Ovis aries: one gene and its partner. The protein of the gene in region 1 purifies or fractionates together with the protein of each later gene. This does not show direct contact. Links are inferred from orthologs where the notes say so. Each region holds a gene or a part of one and is shown in the gene's direction. Other genes may lie near its edges.

The links. The genes of interacting proteins can lie anywhere in the genome.
Region 2: the proteins of SLAMF1 (region 1) and PTPN11 purify together in Homo sapiens (affinity purification with western blotting; 3 studies listed by BioGRID and IntAct, with this or other methods). This does not show direct contact. The link is inferred for Ovis aries from reciprocal best matches to the Homo sapiens genes SLAMF1 and PTPN11.

Annotation. Positions count from the first base shown.
Region 1 is NC_056054.1:111,728,922-111,733,275, reverse strand, and holds the end of SLAMF1 (signaling lymphocytic activation molecule), read left to right. Parts: intron 1-3,599; coding exon 3,600-3,835; 3' UTR 3,836-3,852; downstream 3,853-4,354.
Region 2 is NC_056070.1:61,963,526-61,967,581, reverse strand, and holds the start of PTPN11 (tyrosine-protein phosphatase non-receptor type 11), read left to right. Parts: upstream 1-1,204; 5' UTR 1,205-1,411; coding exon 1,412-1,425; intron 1,426-4,056. UniProt on the Homo sapiens protein: Acts downstream of various receptor and cytoplasmic protein tyrosine kinases to participate in the signal transduction from the cell surface to the nucleus. Positively regulates MAPK signal transduction pathway. Dephosphorylates GAB1, ARHGAP35 and EGFR.

The DNA of each region.
Region 1 (4,354 bases):
GGCATTAAGGCAACTACTCAGCAGCCATTGCACTTTCTTGGACCTCTGTTTCATTATATGTAAACTGAAAAGGGTGAACTCCTGAAGCTCTTTCCCGAGTAAGTAGTCTATAAGTCCATTTTTATGTACATTAATAAGAAATGCTAATGAAGGATTACCGTTTGTATATTCATTTCCTAGGGGTGTTGTAAAAAGGTGCTGCAAAGTCAGTGACTTACATAACCGAAGTTTATTGTCTCACAGTTCTGGAGGCTAGAAGTTCAAAATCAAAGTGTCAATAGTGTTGTTTCTTCTGACGGCCATGAGGGAAGGAGCTGTTCCATGCTTCTCTCCTTGGCTTGGAGATAACTGTCTTCTCCTTTTGTCTCTTCACATTGTCTTCCCTCTCTGCGTATATCTGTCCTGATTTCCACTTATTAAAATGACACCAGTCATATTGGATTAGGACCCACCTATAATTACTTTGCTAGGGTTGCCATAACAAAAACACCACAGATGAGGTGGTTTAAATAACAGAAATTTACTTTCTCACAGGAGAAAGGAGGCTAGAAGTCCACGATCAAAGTGTTGGAAGGGTTGATTTTTTCCTGAGGGCTCCCTCCTGTACGGCAGATGGCTGTCTTCTTGCTGTGTCTTCATGTGGTCTCTGCATGCTCATCCCTAGCGACTTTGTATGTCCAGATTTCCTCTTACAAGGACACTAGTAAGATTAGATTCAGATCCACCCTAATGACCTCATGTTAACTTGATTACCTCTGTAAAGACCCAGTCTCCAAATAAGGTCACATTTTAAGGACTTCAACATATGAATTTTTGGGGAAACACAGTCAACCCATAACACAAATAGAGATCCCCTGCCCTGCCTCCAGGGATGGGGAACCACAGCATTCGAGAACCAAATCACACAGCTAGTCTGTGGCATGCCATTTTCAGTACACCAGATTGCCTAAATATGGAAAACAGAATTTTATTATTTCGTTGATTTGGGTTTGCAAAAGAATATCACTGATTTTTAAAATACCATGCTTGGTTCAACAAACAAAACATTACTGAGATTCTGCTATGTTCCAACGTTGTGCTAGGTGCTGAGAACACAAAGACAAAAAAAAAGACACACTCTTTGCTCTTAAGAAAGGGAATAGCTCTATAAGTAACTATTATTCCAGGTTAAGTAGTACAATAGGGGCAAAACAGAAATATGTGCAAGTTAACCCAGAGGAGGGAATGATTGACATTGTTTCAGGGAATCAGAAAGAGCATCATGGAGAATGTGACACAAACTAGGTGTTGAAGAATAGATAGAAATTACCCAAACAGATAAGAGAAAGACACTCAAGGCAGAGAGAAAAGCAGATATAACTGGGCCTTGTTCTGTATTGTCCTATGGTATTCTGATGGGAACTAATAGATAGTTTTAGACAGAGGATAATGTGATTAGTTTTGCATTTCAGAGAGAATTTTCAGTGGTGTGGACAGTAGACTGTGGTGGGGAAGAAGCAGAAGAAAAAGAAACTAGCTGTGGGGAGGGCCCATTATTGCAGTTACCCATCAAGAGATGATGAGTCCTGAGCCAGAGCACTGGTTGTTCCCTTAACAAAGATCTCATTCAAGGGAGGGAAATCCCAGTCTTGGGATGATGTGGTGGGGTATGAGGATTTGCTAGAGGTCTCTTTGTTATCTATAATAAGGACAGTGATCTTGAGACATTTTTCACTTTCCTTAATGAAAAATTCGAATGGTAATGATGTGATGAAAGCAAATGTAACATGATGTCAGCACTGGTTCTCATCAGGACTCAGACTAAACCACACAAGAACGTATTTGTTTTTCAAGATCTTTTTTTCCTAACAATTGTCCAGGCTCTCCATCATATATTCATCTTTATTCCACTTGTTATCTCAGTGTTTTACAGCAAGAAATACCTTCATATCTATTGTTATGAAGCCTCTTTACTACAAAGTACTTTCTTCGTGGCTCAGTGGTGAAAAAAAAAAAAAATCTACCTACCAATACAGGAGATGCGGGTTCAATCTCTGGGTCAAGAAATTTCCCTGGAGAAGAAAATGGCAACCAGTATTTTCCAGTATTCCTGCCTGGGAAATCCATGGACAGAAGAGCCTGGCAGGCTACAGTATACAGGGTCCCAAAGAGCTGGACATGATTTAGTGACTAACAACAACAACAAAAAAACAAATCCAAGGATGCTACCAAGCCTTCTCCTAGGTCATGTTAATGTGGGTCAGCACTGGACAGTGAGTGACTTGCTGCCATCTTTCATGACTGTGTTCTGAAATAGTTCTGTCTGTGCAGTAGTGAGTAATACTAAACCTTAAACAGTTGAACTCAGAGGGAATGCCCCTGGGAGCTCATTTTGAAAAGAGGACCCCTTTCAGTAGATTAGCAAAAGGTTGGCTCAGCAAGTCTAGGTTAGCTCAGTGGAAGGAAAATCTGACGCCTGCCAGTGAGCTCCGGGGGCTCCCCCTTTCTAACAAGGCCATCTCATCAAAAGGGAGCTCCCATTGCTACTGAGTCATCTAGCTGTTCTGTGTACAGGCAAGTCCCTCTCCCTGGTACTCCCAACCCAGGAAACATGGCAACAATCTTGGAAGGATGAAACCTGTCCCCTCTCATGGACCAGAGCCCTGTCACGTGGCCACACCTGCTACACAGGAAGCTGAGAAATGGAGTCCTTAGCTGGCCAGTCATGTGACTGGACAAGACTTGCTTTGTCGGGGAAGGATGAAAATGGCCCCAGGGGTTACACCCAGTCGTCCCTGCAACGCAATGCTGGGTGGGATAGCAAGTGTGAGGGATTTTTCTGGAAGCTGAGAACTCTGTGTAATAATTTTTACTTGGGTGGCGCCATATCTTAAATTAGTGTATGGTTTGGGACCACCCTTCCCCCACTCCCAATTCTGAGAGGAAGCTGCCACCAACAAAAAGGTGTCTCTTGAAGATGACTGACTTCTTCACGTTGATGTGCTCCAGGCAGACAGCCTTGCTGACAGACCACATGAAAGGCCGGAAAGAGATATGGCGCTCTCAGACCGTTATATTAGCATCTCGGTATCTCCTGGGGTGAGCTACATTTGTTTCTCAGATCCTTTTTATTTTCTTCTTTATCTTCCCTTAAACAATTAGAATTTGGGGACTTGAGAGAGACTTTTGTGTTTCTGTGGCAGCAGACTTTCAGAGATAAATAAAAAAGGCCCTTCAGCCTTTTCCTTAGAGGCGTGGCTACCTGCCGAGTTATCAGGTCTAAAGCACAGCCAATCAAATAGAAGACCAAAGGATGGAAACTCACGCAAAGAACTCTTCATAAATGGCACTGGAGTTCTCAACCAGCCTGCTCAGCTGTCTCTAAGAGGTTCCACGGAGGGGGAAAGTCCTAAGTCTCCTCTTTAAGAATGTTCAGGGACTTCCCTGGCAGTGGTTAAGACTTTTCCTTCCAGTACAGGGGGTGTGGGTTTGATTCCTGGTTGGAGAGCTAAGATCTCATGTGCCTTTGGCCAAAAAACCAAAATATAAAACAGAAACAACGTTGTAACAAATTCAATAAAGATTTTTTTTAATGATTTTTTTATTTTTATTTTTTAAAGAAGACTGTTCAGATAAGGATTCTTTTTGGACAAAGACCGGGACCTGTGGACCCCAGAACAATGTTGATCTGATTTCTGAGCATCGTCATCCTGAGGGGCCTCACTATATGAGCAAAAAGAGGGAGAACAAAAAGAGCCAGAGTCCCTGCCACAGGAAGTGGTGGTTTGAAAATGGGAACACAGATGGTGCTGAGAGCACAGATGCACACCTTGTTTCTGGTTCCATTCGGCTATAATAAAGCACTGCCAAGTAGGTCATTGATTGTTCCCTTCCACTCCTGCCTTGGGCCATTCAGAAGGTGACCCTGCATTCCTTCTGAGACCTTCTTATTTTGTGTATGTGCATGCACGCTCAGTCATGTCCGACTCTTTGCAACCCCACAAACTGTGGCCCTCCAGGCTCCTCTGTCCATGGAATTTCCCAGCCAAAGGGTATATGGCAGTCTTCTCCAAGCTTCATTCTATGGCTCCTAATTTAATTTAACTTAAATCACTTGTCCACCACGTGCATATTGAGTGCCCCCTGCGCTATACTGTGTCATGTGGAAAGGGGAATGCGTGTGAAGCATAAGGTACAGGATCTACCTTCAAGGAGTTTACCATCTAGATAGGATTCCTACACCTTACTGGGTTAGAACTCATGGTCATATTAAAGAAACCACTATTAGAATTCCTCTCTGGGAGGGAACAGAGCTTCTTTAGGATAAAGAGCTTCATAAATGCTTTATGAAGAGTATAAGCTGCTCTTTATGGAG
Region 2 (4,056 bases), on another chromosome or scaffold:
ATCATCCTTAGTGAAGCTTTCCCTAAATACCCCCATTTAAAGTAATATAAAGGGCAATGGAGAAAAGAAGGGAGATGAGTATTGGGGGTATTATCTCAATTGTTTTATTTATTATCGATTACTGTAGCTCCTCCCATGAGAATATCGGGGATTTTTGTCTTTTCAGTTCACTTTTATCTCTATAGTGGAAAATCAGTGCCTAGCAGACAGAAAACGCTCACGTTTCCTTCTAATGATAATAGAGCTAATAATGACACACAAAAAAAGTGAAAAAGTCAAAGTGTTAGTTGCTCAGTTGTGTCCAACTCTTTGTGACTCCATGGACGATAGCATCACAGGCTTCTCTATGGAATTCTACTGGCAAGAATACTGGATTGGGTAGCTATTCCCTTCTCCAAGGGATACTCCCGACCTAGGGATTGAACTGGGATTTCCTGCATTGCAGGCAGATTCTTTACCATCTGAGCCACCAGGGAAGCCCCAATAACTACAGGAGAGAGTGAGTAAAAGTCGCTCAGTCGTGTCCGACTCTTTGCAACCCCATGGACTATACAATTCTTGGCATTCTCCTGGCCAGAATACTGGAGTGGGTAGCCTTTCCCTTCTTCAGGGGATCTTCCCGACCCAAGTATCGAACCAGGGTCTCCTGCACTGCAGGCGGATTTTTTACCGAGAACTTATTAAACAGACCAGGCCTAGTTCTAAACATTTTACATATTTAATCGTCCTCATAATCCTAAGAAGAAAATACAATTACTATTCTTTTTACAGAAATCAAGGATGGAGGCTCAGAGAAATCAACTTTCCTAAGGTTCAGTTCAGTCGCTCAGTCGTGTCCGACTCTTTGCGATCCCAACCTCTTTCCTAAGGTTACACAGCAGTAAGTGGAACAACTATTTGAGGAATGAAATGAATGAAATTCGACTTCACAGCGCAGGGATGGAAATTGACGCTGTGGGAGCAGCTAGAATCAATTCACGCGACTGCGTGTAACTTTGAGCACACAACGCACGGTTTAACGCCAGGATCTAAAGGAGAATGAGAAGGTCCTTTGGGAACAGCGCGGCAGAGGCTCCACAGATCCACTGAACTGCCATGACCAGCCTCAGCGCAGAATGGAAGCAGGAAGTAGCGGCGGGCGTCGCGTGGGAGTGACGTCACGGAGGAGCCGGCGGGGAAGGGCGGGGGAGGAGGAGGAGGAGGAGGAGGAGCGAACCGGGCTTGGGGGGCGGCTGCACAGTCTCCGGGCTCCTCAGGCCTTGAGGGGGGTCTGCGCGCGGCCGGCTGGCTCTGCCCGCCCCCCCCACGTCCGGTCCGGAGCGGGCCTCCCTCGGGCCAGCCCGATGTGACCGGGCCCAGTGGAGCCTGAGTAAGGAGCCGGTTCGTCGCGGAGCCGGAGGGCGGGAGGAACATGACATCGCGGAGGTGAGGAGCCCCGAGGGCCTAGCCCGGGCCTCGGCCCGGCCCCCGCCGCTTTCAGTCAGCTCCGCCCGGGAGGGGGCGGCTCGGCTGGGCTTCGGACTCCTGCCCGGGGTCGCGGGGCAGGCTCCGTTCCAGCCCCCTAAGCCCTCCAGGGCCCCGGGGCCCGGCCCTAGCGCGCCCCCAACCCCTCGGGTCCTCATTCATTTCCTGCCTCCACGGAGTTCCGGCTCCCGCAGCCCTGGGGATGCCCGTCAGGACGGGGACAGGTAGAGCCGCCCGGGGAACCGCGGACGCTAGCGGCTCGGCTCGGCGCGCCGCATTCCTGACCCATTGCCTCATGAGAATTGCCTCATGGTGATTCCGAAATAACCCCGCTCACTTAGGGGAGGCTCCTCGGCCCGGGACGCGGGAGGGGAGAGGAGAGAGTTGCGCGAGGCCAGGCCGATAGTCGAGCCTTTTTGGGTCACTCTGCGTTTTGCGCGCATTTGGGGGCTTTACTCAGGGTCCTTGACCACTTTGTATGCCTCTTTGCATCTTCTTCTCCCCCCCCCCCCCACCCCTCACGTGCCAGAAATGGAAAAACTGACTATATCTGCAGCTATTAGAAGTATTTCCTTCCTCTGCGATCTTCGCTTTGGGAGGTGGGAGGGAAGGGATCGTATCTCTAGTTATTTTAATCCTTCACCACAACCTTAAAAGTCAGGTAACATTAATTACCTCCGTTTTACGGATGTGGAAACTGAGGCTCAGAAGAAACATACTGGTAAATGACAGGGTTTGAACCTAGAAGTCAGAAGGAAGATGAGTGAGTTAATGAGATCCTTGGAAAGTAGTATAGTAGACTATACTACTAATTGCTAACATTTATTTAGCTCTTACCGTATGCCAAACACATTTAATCCTTATAACCCTATCAGGTAGGTACTGTTATCCCGCTCTAAAGAGAGTAAATGAATTTCAGAAGTTAAGCAACTTGCCTAGTAGTTCTAGTGCTAGTGTTGGTCGCTCAGTCGTGTCCGACTCTTGCCTAAGGTCACTCAATCAGTAAGTGGTGGAGACAGAACCCCACTGTTAATTGCTATTATAACTATTGCCAATCATTTGTAAGCCTTAATTTTGTTGTTAAATATTAGTATGATTGATTGTTTTCAGATAATGATCCTGCTATTGTATTGTCATTCTGTATAGAATTCACACTGTCTTAGACATTTGGAAAACTGTTTCAAGCTGTTGGGGTTATTGACTGAGAAACTTCAAAACATTAGGAATGTCTTCTCAGAAATACACCTGCACATTATTCATTGATGGGATGAAAAGAGTGAAAGGAGAAAACTGAAAACTCAAGCAGTGAGTGATTTGGACAGGTCTTCTGGCAAGTGCTTACAGATCTGGGTAATATATAATTGCATTTCAGCAGAACAGCGTATAGCCTCAGATGTTCTAATTCTTTAGAGAGCGTTTAAATAAAACAGTTTTCTATTCTTTAATCTGTCAAATAGTCATTGAGCCTTTTGTTCCTTGTGTCTGCTTTTCCAGACAAGTAAGGATCTGCTTCTTTTAGGAGACAAAAAGTCTGGGGACTGGGGGTGGGGTAGGGGCTGGGTAGTAATAGACCCTACATTGTCCAGCTTGTTAATTTAGAAGCCAGGAAGTGTGAGAAGAGCCAAAGCAGCAAGTGGTAAAGATGACAGTTTGAAATGAAGTAATTCCTCCTCTCCTCTTCCGGCTCTCCCATACTTGTTTTGGAAGAGAAATATGTGCCCCCTAAGAAGTCAGATTATGATTGTAATGCACACACACACACACACACAAATGATTGTAATGCACGACTTCCCAGGTGGCTCAGTGGTTAAGAATTCACCTGCCAATGCAGAAGACTCAGATTGGATCCCTGGGTGGAGAAGATTCCTTGGAGAAGGAAATGGCAACCCTGTCCAGTATTCTTGCCTGGGAAATCCTATGGACAGAGGCGCCTGGCTGTCTGCAGTCCATGGAGTTGCAAAAGAGTCAGAGATGATTTAGCAACTAAATAACAACAACAACAGTGCACACAGTTGGGGATTATTTATTATTAGTTTTCAGATCATAGGTCTTTTATTATTTTTAAACCAGCTTTATTGAGGTATAAGTGACATGCCACAAATTCCATATATTTAAGCATACAATTTGATAAGTTTCCACACTTATACACTCAAGAAACCAGCAATACAATCAAGATAATGAATATATCCGTCACTCCTGTGATGGCTCCCGGAACCCTTTATAATCCCTTCCTTGTTGCCAGGCAGACACTCTTCTGCTTTCTGTCACTATATGTTAGTTTGCATTTCCTAGGATTTTATACAAGTGGACTTTTGTGTGTGGCTTCTTATGCTCAGCAGAATTATATTGAGGTTCATCTATGTTGTTGTGTATGGTAAATAGTTCCTTTTTATTGATCAGTGATATTCCACTGTATGCCTGTACCACCCTTCATTTTTCCATCCAGTTGTTGGTAGACATTTGGGTGGTTTCAGAGTTTGAAGTCAGGTGAAGTCGCTCAGTCGTGTCCAACTCTTTGCGACCCCATGGACTGTAGCCTACTACGCTCCTCTGTCCATGGGATTTTCCAGGGAAGAGTACTGGAGTGGGTTG